2 linked regions of the Notamacropus eugenii genome follow. The protein of the gene in region 2 interacts with the protein of the main gene of each other region in a pairwise test. Links are inferred from orthologs where the notes say so. Each region holds a gene or a part of one and is shown on either strand. Other genes may lie near its edges.

Region 1 (7,889 bases), on a different chromosome or scaffold from region 2:
AAAAACAAAGACAGCAGGAAAAGAGTCATGTATACTAAAATATTTACAGGCTGAATGAACGAAAACATATTAAATACTTATTAAGTACATATTAATTACTTACTAAGTAGTCAGGCATAAAGTGCCAGAAATACTTTCTATGATACCAAAGAATGAGAAACCAATCAAGCACCTATTGATTGGGGACTGGCTGGATAAATATATTTTAAATATATATTTTTATTTATTCCATTACATATTTCCCAATTAAACATTCATTTAAAAATTTTTTGACTTCCTGACAAAAACATAATTATTTATAAGGTAGAGTTATCTGTCCCTGGAGATTATTAGTATTACTATCTGAACATTAAATTCATGGAACCTTAAATTTTTGGAAAGAAACTTTATCTATTGAAGTATCAGCAAGCTGCCACATAGATCCTGCATTTGTGTCCTGGAATATCTGAATATAAAACATTTCTAATGAGCAGAATTTTTCATTTAAATCTAGGGAGTTGTATTTTACAAATTAAAAAAAAAAGTTTGTCATCCAAAAAAACTGAGTTCCAAACTCTTTCCCCACTACGCACTCTTTCCCTACCCCTTGAGAAGGCAAACAATATGATGTCAATTATACATGTGAAGTTGTACAAAACATATTTACATATTTGGCTGAATAAAAAGGGCATACTAATGTAAGGGAATTTTACTCTACCAGGAGAAATGATGTATGTGAAGAATTCAGAGAAACTTCAGAAGACTTGTTACAAAGTGATACTGAGTGACATAAGAAGCAGCAGAACCTTTTATATACTTTTGTAAAGCAAAGAAGGACTTCAGAGATTAAGGCAGTGACCTGTCAGAACTTCAGAGGACTGATGATGAAGCTTTTCTTAACCTGAGAGTTATAGAGGTGTAAAATAAAAGATACGTTTTCCTACATATCCAACATTTTATTTAATGATGTTTAGTTACTTAACTATATTTCTTTGTTACAAGGGAAGGCTCTGTCACAGGGCTGGAATAGATGCAAAAAAGAAAAGACCATCAATGGAATGGGTATAATATCATCTGTGTTGTGAGGATCAGAGTTAATAGATTTTAAGACCCCTTGTAACTCATAAAACATTATTGAAATGTAAAATGTTCAGCTATATTATTCACCTCTCTTCTATCCAAGAACTTACAATGGCCAAATTCAAGCGCTTCTTAATCCATTCTCATCAATTCAACTTTATTTTCCAACTTACTCCTCAAAGGAGCTTTTTTTCCCATCTAGAACAAGCCCAACAATGGGAAGAGGGGCACAAAATTTGAAATCTGGCATACAGAATTGTTTTTTCTCCTCTTTCTTATTTTACCTTTAAAAGGATTTGCTGTCCATTTTTGGGGTGCTAGGACCAGGACCATACGCCAGGGCTGTGAAAGAGAACAGAAACAGGAACCTGAGTGGAAAGACATCCAGAGTACCAGGAACTATCAGCTGTTACAAAACCTTGTGGATTGGGGGGATGGGGGGTGGAAGAAAAACCCATCTCTTTCCTCATGTTTTCCCTGCCTTTCTTATATTCTGAGATCCAGAGGTTGATACTTCAAGGTCCAGAGCTAGAGTTTTAGATACACACACACTTCCTTAGTCCCTCTTCACAATTTGCTGTGGTGTTTGGCTCTGAAATTCCCCTAGCTACAAAGTAGAGAGGGTGGTCAGAAGGAGTGTGAGGAGATAATTGGGCAGAGGGCTCAGCAGGGGCTTCTTAATAATTTTACTTTTATTTTTATTTTCCTTTTATTTTTGCTATGATGAATTAATAGACTGGCCACTATATGTTGATTGTTTATGCCCAGCAAATGTGGGGGGCATTGACTGACTTCAGGTATGGGGTAGAAGAGGGATCAATTGATGGCTTGGTCTTTTAAAATAGGTTGTTGTTTTTTTTAAACCAATATTTCACATTATCTCCTAGATCAGAGGTTCTTAACCTGGGGTTAAAGGACTTAAAATATATATATATATATATATATATACATATATATATATATAAAACTTCATTACGATGGAAATTTTATATATATGTATAAAACTTCATTACGATGGAAATTTGTAGTTGGGGAACTAATTCAGTGCTGCAGACTTGGAGTCAGGAAGACCTGAGTTCAAATGTCACCTCAGATTATGTGACCTTGGGCAAATCACTTAACCTCCGTCTATTTTAGTTTCCTCATCAATAAAATGGAGATAATAATAAAGCCTTCTTCCTAGGATTGTTGTGAGGATCAAATGAACCTTAAGGCACTATGCAAACTGTTATTATTTTGTATATTTAAAAATATTATCCTTAGAAAGGATCTATGGGCTTCACCAGGGGTGGGGAACTAGTGGCTTAGAGGTCACAGAACAATTTGTAAAATTTGGATTCAATCAAAGGGCCACACTTGAGGACCTAGAGGATCACATGTGACTTTGAAGCAGCAGGTTCCCTACTCCTTTCCTAGACACATTCTAGACTATATAAACTTCTGCCATATTGTGGAAGGCATCCATTTAAAAAAAACAAAAAAGGTTAAGAAATCCTCAATAGTGAACCTGACCAATGTCACTAGGGAGAGTAGTTCAGGGGAGGGGTAGTAATCTAAGCTTTTGTAGTCTGAATACTCCTTATGGTCAGTGGGGCAATTGAAACTTTTATGAGTCTCTCCTATATCTGCACTAGAGAGACTACTGAGAAGCTTTGGTTGTTGAGTCAGAGAAAGCACCACCTAGCGGACAATCCAAATACATTGCACACTAGATAATATGTGTAGATGTAGATGTAGATGTATTCTGTAGGCTAAAAGAAGGTAGCATATGAGCTATTTGGGCTCACACTCCTAAAATGTCAGTCTTTATCATGATACATCATTATCATCATCCTCTTCCTCATCATCATGATCATCATCCTCATCAGTATGGTTTTCTTTTAGTCTGAGCTGTGAGCTCCCTAATGAAGATTACACATTCTTATCCCCTATAGCAAGCTGAGCTGGGTTATACTGGGCTGAGCATATACTGGGCTGAGTATACAAGAAATACTTACTGAATGAATAAATGAAGACTGGATGTGAAATCCAGCTCCTTGGGGAGCTAGATGGCACAGTGAGTAAGGCACCAGACCTGGAGTCAGGAAGACTCCTCTTCTTGAGTTCAGATCTGACCTTAGACACTTACTAGCTGTGACCCTGGGCAAGTCACTTTAACCCTGTTTGCCTCAGTTTCCTCATCTGTAAATGAACTAGTGAAAGAAATAGCAAACCTCTCCAGTGTCTGCCAAGAAAACCCCAAATGGAGTCATGAAGACTCAGACAAGACTGAAAGCAACTGAACTATAACAACAAGACTTGGAGTCAGCTGACCTGGGATCTAGTCCTAGCTTGCTGTGGGATGTCCGGCAAGTTGTTTCTATCTGTGGGTCTGTTTCTCCATCTATAAAATGAGGATAATATATATATAAAATACATAATATATACCTGCTTCATATGACTGTTATGAGGGAAGCTCATCCTAAATCAGACAACGTTGTGAGAATACAAAATGAGATGATCATCTTTGTGCCTCAGGACCACTGCCCCTGCCCTTGTGCTTATTCTAAAGATCCCTTCTGGGTCTTGGCTTCCCCAAGGTGTAAATAGTTCCAAACAGGAACTTACCCAGGTCCCTTCCCTCTGCTCCAGCCTGGCTGATGCCTTATTTAGTCTGGCTTGACTGCTCGTGCTTTTCTTGAGAATGTCTATATATAGGGGAAGAAGCCAGTGCCATTTGCCGCTGTCCATCCTGACCTCTCCTTGGCATTTGAATCCCCTGTCTCCCTTCCCCCTATCTCCCCATACCCTCTGCTCAGCTGCTTTCTGGGGCTCTCTTGACCCTCTTCATTCTTCTCTCCATCTGTCCTGTTCCATTCCTGGGTGGGGATCAGGGGTGGGTGGGGACATGTCTCCCAATACTGGAGGCATGCCATTTTCTAGTCTCCTATGCTGGTGTGGGGATAAGCAGGAAATTGTCAGGGCTGCTCTCGGGCTCTCAGGCTAGGGCAGGACTGACTTCTGATACCCACTTAGCACCATGTGTGGTCTGGGAGAAAAGAAGATCTCCCCTTTTAGGGTTTCAATTTTCTCCACTGTAAAATGAAGAGGGTTGGACCAAATGATCTCAAAGTCCCTGCCAGTTCTCACATTCTTTGTTCTGTTCTCTACGGTACTTTCCATTCTGATGTGCTGAAGATTCCTCTTGTCTCTACCATTCTATGATTTTAGAGTCTCACTCCCCAAATGCCTCCTAAAAACTTCCAGATGTCACTAGTGTCCAGAGAAGCCAACAATGTGCTTCCATTCAGGCAAAAGAGAAGGATCCCTTGTGTCTTGTGTCCTTTATCTTCTCTTTCTAGGGCAAAGTTTTTTTTTTTTTTTTGTCATTGCCTTATTCCTCTCTCTAGTCATAGTCAAGTCCTCCTCCCTGCTTGTTATGGCTCAGCTTGGGACAGGTTAAGGGGTCCACTGTCCAGCGTAAAGGCTCCCTGAGAAGAGGGTGGGGCCTCTCCATAAGGGTCTTGGAACATCAAGGCAGGCACCTGCTTGAAGGTTTAAGTTTACCCAGGGCGCCTTGGCTAAATTAGGTAATGGGCTCAGATTTGGGGAGGGGCAGGTGCAGCTGAGCTCTGGGACCTAATTGGATTGGGGAAGGCTGAGGTACACGGATGTCCAATCCCAGGGAGTGGGGGAGGGAGGAAAAGCAAGAGCCCCTACAAATATTGGGGACTGGGGTGGTAGGGAGCCTTTGGGTGTGGAGTACAGAGGAGTTGGAACTGATTGCAGCAGGGGATCTCGTGAGCAGTCACCATGGTAAGTGGCTTCCCTTCCCCATTCCCTCATCCTCAGATCTTTACCCTCTCCCAGAAATTCTGAGAGGAGAACTGAGCTTCATCTCCCTCTCCCTGGACCTTGGGAAAACATGTCCCCAAAAGAAGCTAGGAAGCCTAGGTGACCAGAGGCCACTGACTCAGATGAAAGGCAATATGGGGTAGAGGAGAACACAGATTTAGAATATGGGCACAAATTTTAACTCAGCCATCAACTTACTATGCCTTCCCTCCCACCCACCCCCCAACCCCAGCTGTCACCTCTCCTTCAACCCAAGTCATTTAACCTCTTTCTTCAACTGCAAAATGAGAAGACTGTCTTTTTAAGGCGCTTTCTAGTTCTTAGTCCTATGTATTAGTGAAGTTGTAAGGAATACAGCCATCCAGAGACAAAAAGCAATTTCCCCAAAGTGTCCGCAACTCTCACTTACCCTTCCCAATAGAGAAGCAGTATAGTGTGGGAATTGGAACTGAGGGACATAGGTTCAACTGCCAGCTTTGGTATTTACAATGTGAACAATCTTGGTCAAGTAATGGAGTCTCTCTGGGCTTCAGTTTTCTCACCTGTAAAATGGGAGCATTGGACCATAGGACTCTCAGTTCCTTTCCCTTTCTAAACTCATGATTCTTTCTCTGGAAGTTTTCTTGGAATGAGAGGCTAGTGTCATCTTGGTCTCCTTTGACCACAGAGAAGAGAAGCTCCTGGGGATTTAGGACTCAGAGCATCTGCCTTCTTCTGCCTTTTGGGGCACCAGCCAGCATGTGATCTCTCTGGCCCAATTGCCTCCCTCTAGCTTTTACTATTTTTGTTCAAGGAATCCCAAAGACTTAGGGTCATTTTACAACTGAGTATTGAGGGTAGGGATGTGCCAAGGAAAAAGAAGAAGGAGTCAGAGACAGAGGGGCTCCCCTGGCCCTTGGGCAGGGGCTCTGGGGCATGAAAGGGCATAGCTTGTGGTAAAGAGTGAAGGATACCAGACTTAGATGAAGGGAACTGGGATCAAATTTCATCACTTCTTGTTCCTGTTGTATGTCAGTTTCCTCCTAATCTACAAAATGGGGGACTCAGGTATTGGGCTTAGTTGGTCTTTAAGCTCTAAATTCTAAGTTCAGCTCTAAATTCTACAGGCCTTTGAGGGAGGAGGCATTCTTTAGTCTTCAATACTCCACCCCCAGCCCCTAACCCCCCCAGCCCCTCCCCTCCTTGTCCTCCTAGTCCTTCTTTGAGGAGTAATTGGAGCCTGGGCCCAGCTGTTCCTACAGCCTCAGCCTAAGAATAGCCAAGGCCTGGGTGGGACATGGCAGGGGGAGGGGTCCTATGATCCCTCATGCTCAAACCTGTGGAGATTCTGGATTTAGGCCTCAAATTCCTTTATCAAATAATAGGAATAAATCCATTCATTCCTGGAGTTGGAAGGGGCTTTGGAGATCACCTCCTCCATACCCTTAATTTTTATTGATGGAGAAACTGAGGCTGTGCTGGAACTTGCCCTCAGGTCTGCAGACTCCTAACCTGAGATTTTTTCCAGTAGATTACACCAGCTCACAGCGTAGGACATGCAATTACCCTCATTCAGCAAAGAATTGTCTGAGGTTCATTGAGGTTAAGCATGTTACCCCTTTATACTCCATAAAGCTAGTATGGGGTAATGGATGTTGTACTGAAGTCAAATTCTAGGGTTCAAATTCTAGCTCTTCCATATACTTACCTATGACTTTGGGCAGATGCTACCAAACCCAGAAGACTTTGAGTAGAGACTATCTGATGTCCAAGGACTAGGTCTAACTCCTAAGTAAGAAGAAATTTGTCATCAAAAGATTGGTCACCAGATGGTGATTTGGGGGCTCAGAAACTCATAGGGTCAGAGTTCAGATCTAGAAGGAACCTTAGAGACTATCTAGCCCAATCTCCTCATTTTACTGATAGGAAAATAAGGACCCGGAAATGTGAATGACCTACTTTAGGTTACATGAGTAGTAAGTTAGGGATGTAAATACAGGTTCAGCAGGGATCTCTTAACTTTCCCAAGCCTAACCCTGGGAGTTCCCCTTTACCTTTCTTCTTCCCTGGGACCTGGTACCTGACTTCTCTTGTATCTTGCAGACGGACCAGCAGGCGGAAGCCCGGTCCTTCCTCAGCGAGGAAATGATTGCTGGTGAGTGTGTATTTTGAGAGGTGGACACTTGGCTGGGAGTGGGACTTATGGCTGTGCCAGTCCTCCAGGTTAACAGATTCTTTTGTTATTGCTCCACCATCTTCCCTCTCAGAGTTCAAAGCTGCCTTCGACATGTTTGATGCTGATGGTGGTGGAGACATCAGCACCAAGGAATTGGGCACAGTGATGCGGATGCTAGGCCAGACACCCACCAAAGAGGAGCTGGATGCCATCATAGAGGAGGTGGATGAAGATGGTGAGCGGGCATCTCCCAGGAGGTGTGAAGAGCAGGTGACTGCATTTGGGCAGGGCCTCTGACACTCACTCTCTCAATCGCAGGCAGTGGTACCATCGACTTTGAAGAGTTCTTGGTCATGATGGTGAGACAGATGAAGGAGGACGCGAAAGGAAAGACTGAGGAGGAGCTGGCTGAGTGTTTCCGTATCTTTGACAGGTTAGGCCTGGTGCCCACTGGGGCCATGTTTCCCTGGGAAGGTGTTAGTGAAGGGAGGGGAGTGGAGATGTGCCATACCAGGCGGCTTAGAGTTCAGACTCAGCCCGAGTGGACTGGGGAAGGTATGTGTGAGGAAGGGGCGAGGGGGGGTGGGGAGAAGAAAGGGCTGGAGAAGAAGTAAAGTAAGGCTGGCTGGGCTGAAGTAGGAAGAGGGGGCTGAGTAGCCCTGGGTCCCAGACCTTGGAGGATGTGAACCAAAGGATCTTTAAGGACCCTTTCAGCACTGGAATCTGGTTCATTGCAACGTGCACATCACAGTCTCTTGAGGAGCTTTCTGAAGAACATTTGGTCTCTTCCCCTTTCCTTCTCCTCCCTCCTAAGGAATGCTGATGGCTATATTGATGCTGA
Region 2 (8,017 bases):
TGAAACTTCAGTATTAGTACCTGCCCTGGAAAAGCTTCCATTCTAGCTCACTTCTTACCCTCTTTTTTGGTCTCTGGGTCTCTGCCTCCTGAACCAATTTGCCATCCATCCCTAGTCCAGTCTCCCTCTCTTTCTGCTCTCAGTTCCGGGAGCGGGACTCCCTGGAGGCCGTGTTCGCCTTCTGGGCAGCCTCGGAGGCCGAAGCCTCCTTCCCTCTGAGCCGCTTGTGGGACTCTCGGCTCCGAGGCTACCTGGGCTCCCGCTACGACGCCCGGCTCGGAGTCAGCGACTGGGACTTGCATATGAAGCTGCATGACCGAGGGGTGAGAGCTTCTGGACTCCAGGGTCCTTGGGAGGTTTGTGGGAAGACGAGAACTACCATTCCCAGCAGGCAGCAGGGGAATGTCATTGGAAGGCCGCCTAAGCTTCCCCAGGAGCTTTCTGGGAAATGTAGTTTTAGGTGCCTTCGCATTGGGACATCTGGCAGTTTTAGCGTGGAGATTGAGAGGCTGGTCTCCTGGCTTCCCAAAGAGGCGGGGAGATCAAGGGGGTGGGGAGGATTCCTGAGTCCTTGAACCTCTCCTCCCTTCCTTTCTTTGCCTCTCAGGCCCGGGTCATCAACAGCCGAGAGTTTCGTCGCTGGAGGGAAACCAGTGTGGCCTTTGAGATTCGGGATACTTCGGCCTATCAACTCCCAAACCGAACCCTGGCATCTGGGCGCCTGATGAGTCATGTGCGTACTCTAGGCCCGCTTCCCATCTCCAGCCCTGGGCGACCCAGACTTCATTCCCAAATTCTCATCCCAAGGCGTCCCAGTCGCCCCTGTCCCCTCCAGCCCTTGGTGACCCAGGAGTCTTGAGCCTCACCCACCATCTCAGGAGATCTGAAAGTTCTGGTCTCCACTCACTGTCTCAGGGGTCCGAGGGAGTTCTGGTCCTCCCTCCCAGTCCTTTATTTCAGGGGAGCTGGGCCTCCAGTTTTCCAGCTCTTTGTCCTCAGGGTCTCAGTAGTTCACGTTCCAAGCTTCTGACATCAGAAGAAACAATGCTCCTACCTCAGTCTCCTTGTGGATCCAGACATCCAAAAGTTGAGCAATATCTCTCCTCCAACCTCAGCGTGGGGAGCGTGTGGCTGTGCGAGGCTACTGGGGGGACGTGGCTACCGGACCTTTCGTGGCCTTTGGCATCGAGTCCGATGATCAGAGTGTCCTGCAAACCCGAAATGGAATCCCTGTTAAGGTGCCCACCCGGGCCCCACCTCCAGGGCTTCTCCCCCTTTTTTTTGTCGGTCCTCTGGGCAGACCTACGGGCCTTCTTCTTTAGAGAGGGTGGTCCGGCTCTCTGGCTCTTGCTTTGTCTCTTCTTCTCTTCTCTTGTGTCCCTGTCTTTCCCTCTCTGAGTGGTTCTTTCTCATAGGCTCAGAATCTCTGGTTCCATCCCCCTCTGCGTCTTTGTCCCTCCCCCTGTCAGTGACTCCGAGTCTCTGGCTTTCCCTCTCTAGTTTTGTCTTTGTGATTCTCTCTCGGGATCAGGGTCTATATCTCTTCATCTTCCATCGGAAGACTTCGGCCTCTTCCCCATCTACATCTCCTCTCCGAGTCTTCAGCTTCTCTGGTTGCCCCAACCCCTAGTAGCTCCACTCCAGGGCTCCGCCCATTTCTCTAGGCTCCTCCCACATTTTCTGCCCGTTGCTCCCACAGTGCGCTGGTGAGATCTCCTTGCACAATGTGACCTCGATGTTTCGAAGCCTAGTGACCCCCGGGGATGAGGTGTCTGAGGCCAAACCTGAGGCCAAGGCGGAGGGCGGGGCCCCAGACTCCGGTGAGAAGTGACAGGAGGCCCCCAAACTTTCCTCCTTCCGAGTACCAGAGATTCCTTTTAGTCTCCTTCCTTTTCCTCTTTAGGGCTCTTAGAAGCCATCTGGATTCCCAGAGGGGAAACTGAGGCCAAGAGGAGGGATAGGATACGTGGAGGGTCAGGGGCAAGACCTGGACTAGGGGGAGGGAAGATCAGAGTCCTGATTAGGGGTTTTCCCGAGTCTTTCTCATCCCAGATTGGAGGATGGGGAGGGCCTTGTGAGTCTGTATGCGTGTTCATGGTGTGTACATATGTGTAACGGGACAGGGCAGGACAAGTTGTGGGAAGGTTCAAAGAAAAGGGAGGTGTACTGTCCCGGCACCATCCTCTTCTTCCTCTACTTTCTCCTCCTCCCCCTTCTTCCTGGCACTGAGTGCCTGTCATTCTCTTCTGGTCTCCTTCGGGTTCAGAACCTGCTGGTTCCAGACCTTTCCGGGTCCACTTCCTGCCCCTGGGGGCTGCCCCGACGTTGCACCAGCGAAATCGCTTCCACAGCCGCTTCCACCTTCTCTACGTGTCCTGCGGGTAACTGAGGGCTGGTTCCCCACTCCCCTAGCCCATGCGGCCTTAGGGATCCTGTAGTCAGTCTTAAGGCCCTAAGCCCTTTCTCTTTCTCTTCCTTCGGGGACTCAGGCATCCAGAACTGCCAACCCCATTCCCCTTTCCCTTCCAGAACTCCAGCAGTCTTGATCCCCTAAACCTCACTCCAGTAAACCGAGTGCTGATCTCCAATCCTCTCCTCCCTCGGACCCAGGTGTCCTGATTCTTCCAGCCCTCTCCTCCTCTTTCAGATATTCAGGTGTTCTGAGCCCCCTAATTTTCTGTTCAGGGACTTAGGTGTCCTGATTACTTACCCCCTTCTCTATGGAGCATTACGATATCCCGATTCCCAATCCCTCCTCTCTCAGAGACCCAGGAACACAGATTCCCAGCTCTCTTCTCTAGGAACCAGGGGTGGGGAGGACAGACAGACATCCTGATTGTTCCAGTCCCTCCTCCTTCAGGGACATAGAAGCACTGATCCCCTTGCCCTCTCCTCCCTCGGGGACCCAGGATCACTGATCACCCCTATCCTCTCTTCCCTCGGGGAACCTGGGAGCACTTTCTCCAGCCCTCTTCTCCCAGGGGTTGAGGACCCAGGCGTCCTGATTCGTCCTTTTCCATCTTTCTGAAGGATGGTCCACCAGCTGAGCCCGGAGCTTGGGGCCTGCGTGGCTCCTGGGGGACGCCTGATAGTGGAATTGGCCAGGTGGGCGCTGTCCTCATGCCCAGGGTGCTGAGTTGGGGGGGGGGGCGGTCTGGGTGTCCTGGATCCTGGTTCCCTGACTGTCTCCCATCTATCCTCAGGTACCTTGTGGACTTGCGGTCTAACCAGCTAGAGAGTTTCTCTGAACGGGTCCGGGAGCTGGCTGAGGCTGCTGGTTTCCTACCAGAGTCCCACGAGGATCTCCCCGAAACCTTTGCCCGCTTCTCTCGCAAGCCTCCACCAGGCCAGGATGATCCGCCTCCCCAGGGTGCCCGGGATGCAAGGCAGAACGCCGAAGCCCCGCCCCTTGATAACTTAACTCCTCCCTCAGAGATTTTGACTTTGCCTCCTAAGGCCTCTGAACCTATGTCCTCAGAAATTCTGAGCCCGTCCTCAAATGAGGATGCTCCTGTGCCCACCTCGCCTCCTAGAGGCGCTGAGCCTATCCTTTCTGAAATTCTGAGCCCGTCCTCAAGTGCAGATGTTCCTGGAGCTCTGACTCTGCCCCCCGAGGATTCGGAGCACGCTCCCTATGGCATTCTTGGACCAACCATTAGCCCTGATGTAGCTGAAATGTCGAGTCCGCACCTTGACCCCATGACTCCGCCCTCCGAGAGTCTGAGCTGGCGTACGGATGCTGAGCTAGGCCCTCCTGGAATTCTGACTCCGCCCCCTGGGGATTCCGACTCCGCCCTCTCTGACTTTCTGAGCCCTGCCCCGAATCCTGATGATTCTGGAATGCCCGCTGGGGAGCCAGGTCACCCCTCTTAAGATTCTGACTCCACCTTCTCATTTCCGAGCCCCTCCCCTAACAATTCTGGGTTTGGCTCCAAGTCCTGAGGCTCACGGGATCTTGACTTCATCGCCCAATTCTGACTGAGAGTCCTTGGTCCCCAAATTCTCCCTTGCCCGTTCCCCACACTGTCCACGACTATCTTGGCCCCAGGATTTTGATTCCGCTCCCCTGGCATTCTGAGACTCATAGGATTTTGACCTCTTAGAGTCCCTTGTCCTTCCCAGGGAGTCAGGACTTGTTAGAATAAAGAGATTTGGACCCTACAATCAGTCTGTGGTCTGGGAGGGAGTGTGGCACATCGCCATCGCCTTAAGGAAGGAGGATAGGTCTCAGGACTCCTGGATCCCTAAGAAAAATGGGTCTGGGGCTCACTCCGTCTGGGTCCCTGAGAGAAAAATGGGCTATATAACTAGCATGCTGACTGAATAGGGTTCCAAAGACTGAATAGGTTGGGGCTCAAGGTTCCTTGGTCCAGGAGAGAGGAGGGGCTGGAAAATCAAGACCCTTGCGCCCCCAAGCTAGAAGGGACTGGGGACTGGGAAATCTAGGCCCCGAAGAGGAAGGCTCTAAGGAATGAGAATCCCTGGGTGCCAGAGACGAGCTAAGATAGGCCTCAAGGTTCGTTAGGGAGGAGGAAACAGGACGAGAATGTTCTGAGTCGCCAAAAGAGAGGGGTCCCATGATGAGGACCTCTGATTCCCTGAGGAAGGAGGGGCTGACGTATCAGGATTCTTGGCTTCGTATGGAGGTGGGACCTGAGAGAGGGAGCATCTCCCTCCCTCTCCGCGCCCCCTTATCTCCCCAGCCGAGAGTATATTTAGCCTCAGGCTCAGCTTTTATCCCAGTGTCCCCAGAGGAGCCAGAGGAGATTAGAGGCTAACGGACCCCAGCCCCCCCAAGGTCATCCCGGATACTCGTCCAGTGCCCTTACATCATGGCGGAGGAGTGAGTGTGGTCTCGGTGGCATGGACGCTTGGGTCCCTGGAGGGGCGGGTATCAAGACCAAGGTCTCTGTGTGGGAATAAATTTGTACTGATTTGTCCTAGAACTGAGGGGGAGGGAGGAGGCAAGGGTGGATGCCCACCACCAGTGCAGTAACACCACCTCCCTTCTCTCTGCAGGAGCAGCGACACGGTAAGAGAAGGGAGAGAAGGGAAGGGGGCCTCGGAGCTGGGGAACAGGGACTCCTGGATCCCTGAAGAGGGAGCAGGATGGGACGAGGACACCGGGGTCCTCGAGGATGTGGGGTGGAGGCTTGGAGGCCTGGGCTTCCCCTGGGCGGAGGGTGGGGCCCTGAGGTTTCTAGAAGAGACCACTCTTTGGGTGTAGGGCCTCGGAGCCCAGCTAACCCGGGTCTCCTTCAGTTCCCGGCTGAGTTGCCACCTGCACCCACCCCAGCGGCACCCCCAGTTCGACGCCGCTCTTCTGTCAATTACCGAGCCTATGCCACCGAGCCCCATGCCAAGGTGAGAATCCGGGACCTGAGTGCGGGGATGAGCTTTGGTGGTGGTGGTGGTCGGGGGGATGACCTAGGCCCTTCGGGGGCCCCTTGAAGTCCGCCCTCCCCGGGCCAGTGCTGTCGGGGCAATGGAACACCGCCGCTGGGTTTCTGGCCCCTACCCCAGAACGCTAGCCTCACCCTGTAGGCTTATGGCCCCGCCCCCAGAGCAATAGCCCCACCCTTTGGGTTTCTGGCCCGGTCCCTAATTCTAACTGCATCCCGGGGATTCTGTTTTTCCCTCTTCCCTCCCCACCCCTGAATTCCAGCCCCCCAAATTTCGGTTCCTCTCCTTCCACATTCTGACCCCAGTATTTCCCTCCCGCAGAAAAAGTCCAAGATCTCGGCTTCTCGGAAGCTGCAGCTGAAGGTGAGGAACTGGGCCTGAGAGGGAGCGGTCCGTCAGTCACTCAAGCAACGCGTGGGAAGTGCCCTGAGCGGGAGAGCTGGGCCAGGGCAGTGGCTTCACTCGCCTCCAGCCTGGCTCTCCTTCCTTCCCAGACCCTGATGCTGCAGATCGCCAAGCAGGAGTTGGAGCGTGAGGGGGACGATCGGAGTGGGGAGAAGGGCCGCGTGCTCGGGGAGCGCTGTGCTCCTGTGCAGTTGGCCGGCCTCGGGGTGGCCGAGCTGCAGGTATTAGGACACGCGGGGCTCCTAGCTCCCCTCCTCGCCTCTGTTAGGGACCCAGGAGTCCTGTCCCCCAAAACCTTCCTTAGAGATCCTGGTGTCCATCTCAATCCTATCCCCCCCTCCCAGGGTGCCTGGCATTAGGCCTCCAGTAGATACACTGTAGGGAAACAGGCATCCTTCCCTCTTCCCTCAGGAGCTGTGTCGGGAGCTTCATGCCAGAGTGGACAAGGTGGATGAAGAGAGATATGATTTGGAGGCAAAAGTTACAAAGAATGTCACTGAGGTAGGGAACAAAGGGGGCAGGCTGATCACCTGTGAGCACCTGGCCTGGGGTCAGGGGCTGGAGACTCAGCCAAAAGAGGGCACCTAGAGGACTTGGGGTCCATGTCCCTGGGGTTACAGAGGAAGGCAAGAGACCCACCTCTCTTAGTGAGACCAACCCCTGCTCCTTAGTCACTCAGAACCAGGAATCTGTTTGATGTCCTAGAGGGTCAAAGTGAAAGGCATGCTTAAAGATCCCTCTTTCTGAGTCCCAGTGAGGGAAGTGACCTGCCCATGGAGACTGGAGACCAGACGTATCCAGATCTCTAGCCTACTAGCCCTGGTTTCTTTCTAGCCCCCCAACTCCATACCAAGCAAAGCCAATCCCCTGAAGAAGGACTTCTAGGGGTCAACCTGGGAACCTTCCTCCTGCCTTCTCATCACCAGCCTCCACAGGGGAGAAGACCTAAGAGTGAGGGGCCCCTGAGCCTTGCATCTCCTGCTGGGCACAGAACACCCCTGAAGGGAGGTAGCAAGGGGCATGAGCAGGGCCAGGAATATGCCATTTCCTGCTCCAGCTCAGTTTCCCAACAAAGAGAAGCAACCCTCCCCTCTGTTCCAGGCTTCCCATCTCTTGCTGTGCCTATCCTTCGAGGGTGAAGTGGTGCTCTCCATTTAGTGATGGCCATTCTCACACCTGGTCATGCCCTTCACATCCCAGTGACTCTCAGCTCCTGAGATCATGACCCAAATCTTCTCCCTGCCCCCAACCTGATTTCCCCATGCCTATCTCCCCACCCCAATGTTCCAACCTAATCCCACCTGGCCCTTCCACTGTGCCCTCTGGGAGGCATGTTCCATAGGCAACAACCCTCACTTCATCTTGAATCTATTTCTCTCCCACTCCATCCATCTGCTCTTATTGCAACTTGGCTTCCCCTGAAGACACAGCCTCCTTGGCAGTCATTCATTCTCCTAGGCTCACTGGTCGGGGTTCCCCATTGCTGCTTCCAGGTTCTTCCCCTTCCTCCATCACTCAGTAACCTTTCCTCCTCTGAGGTTCATGATATTCACATCTCTCACCTAATCAAAATCCTGGTAGCCGTTGTCTCCCTTTCTTAATGCGTTTGGTACCTGACAACATTTTTCTTCTCCCCAACTCCTGCCCTCATCCTAGGGGATGTAAACATACATCAAACACCCTGACCACTCAGTTCCCTCAACCTACTCACTTCCCAGAAGCTATTCTGCCACCCCACCTCAGCCAGGCACAAACATATGCCTCCACAGTCAAGATTCCAGAAATCCCCTTATCTGACCATAATCTATTGGGTTTTCACCTCTTCCTCTGCCTCCCTTTATATAACTCTGCTCTTCCTCCTCCCTGTGACCTCCACCCCTTGACCCCTAGGTCTTCTCCCAGGCCATCTTCCCTCCCCAGGCCCTCTATCTCTTCTCCCCATTTTAATTCCTTGGTGAGCCAATTCAACACTGTCCTCTTCTCTTAACTGTTAGTCCCCTTATCATTTTGCTATTGTGCCCAAGATTCAATCTTGGATCACTCCCACCATTCACTCCTACATACCCTGCTGATGAGGGTGGAGAGAATCATGTAACTCTTCTGACTAGACCCCCTACAAACTTGACTGGGCCCTCCCTGCTGCCAGGCAATCCTACCATACCTCCCTTATTAACTTACTCTTCCTTTCTGCACAACAGCTCTTCAAAAT

Evidence for each region.
Region 1: the proteins of TNNI3 (region 2) and TNNC2 interact in binary tests that used the Homo sapiens proteins (3 or more experiments, as listed by UniProt). The two-hybrid records come from large-scale screens. The link is inferred for Notamacropus eugenii from reciprocal best matches to the Homo sapiens genes TNNI3 and TNNC2.

What each region holds. Positions count from the first base shown.
Region 1 is NC_092872.1:475,404,807-475,412,695, reverse strand, and holds the start of TNNC2 (troponin C, skeletal muscle), read left to right. Parts: upstream 1-4,626; 5' UTR 4,627-4,851; coding exon 4,852-4,854; intron 4,855-6,975; coding exon 6,976-7,027; intron 7,028-7,139; coding exon 7,140-7,283; intron 7,284-7,366; coding exon 7,367-7,481; intron 7,482-7,862; coding exon 7,863-7,889. UniProt on the Homo sapiens protein: Troponin is the central regulatory protein of striated muscle contraction. Tn consists of three components: Tn-I which is the inhibitor of actomyosin ATPase, Tn-T which contains the binding site for tropomyosin and Tn-C.
Region 2 is NC_092876.1:17,804,866-17,812,882, reverse strand, and holds the start of TNNI3 (troponin I, cardiac muscle), read left to right. Parts: upstream 1-4,848; 5' UTR 4,849-4,863; coding exon 4,864-4,905; intron 4,906-5,019; coding exon 5,020-5,032; intron 5,033-5,227; coding exon 5,228-5,364; intron 5,365-5,724; coding exon 5,725-5,766; intron 5,767-5,897; coding exon 5,898-6,029; intron 6,030-6,219; coding exon 6,220-6,309; intron 6,310-8,017. Other genes in the region: DNAAF3 (dynein axonemal assembly factor 3), read left to right, coding at 144-323, 608-733, 1,116-1,238, 1,700-1,820, 2,267-2,381, 3,031-3,105, 3,204-3,873. UniProt on the Homo sapiens protein: Troponin I is the inhibitory subunit of troponin, the thin filament regulatory complex which confers calcium-sensitivity to striated muscle actomyosin ATPase activity.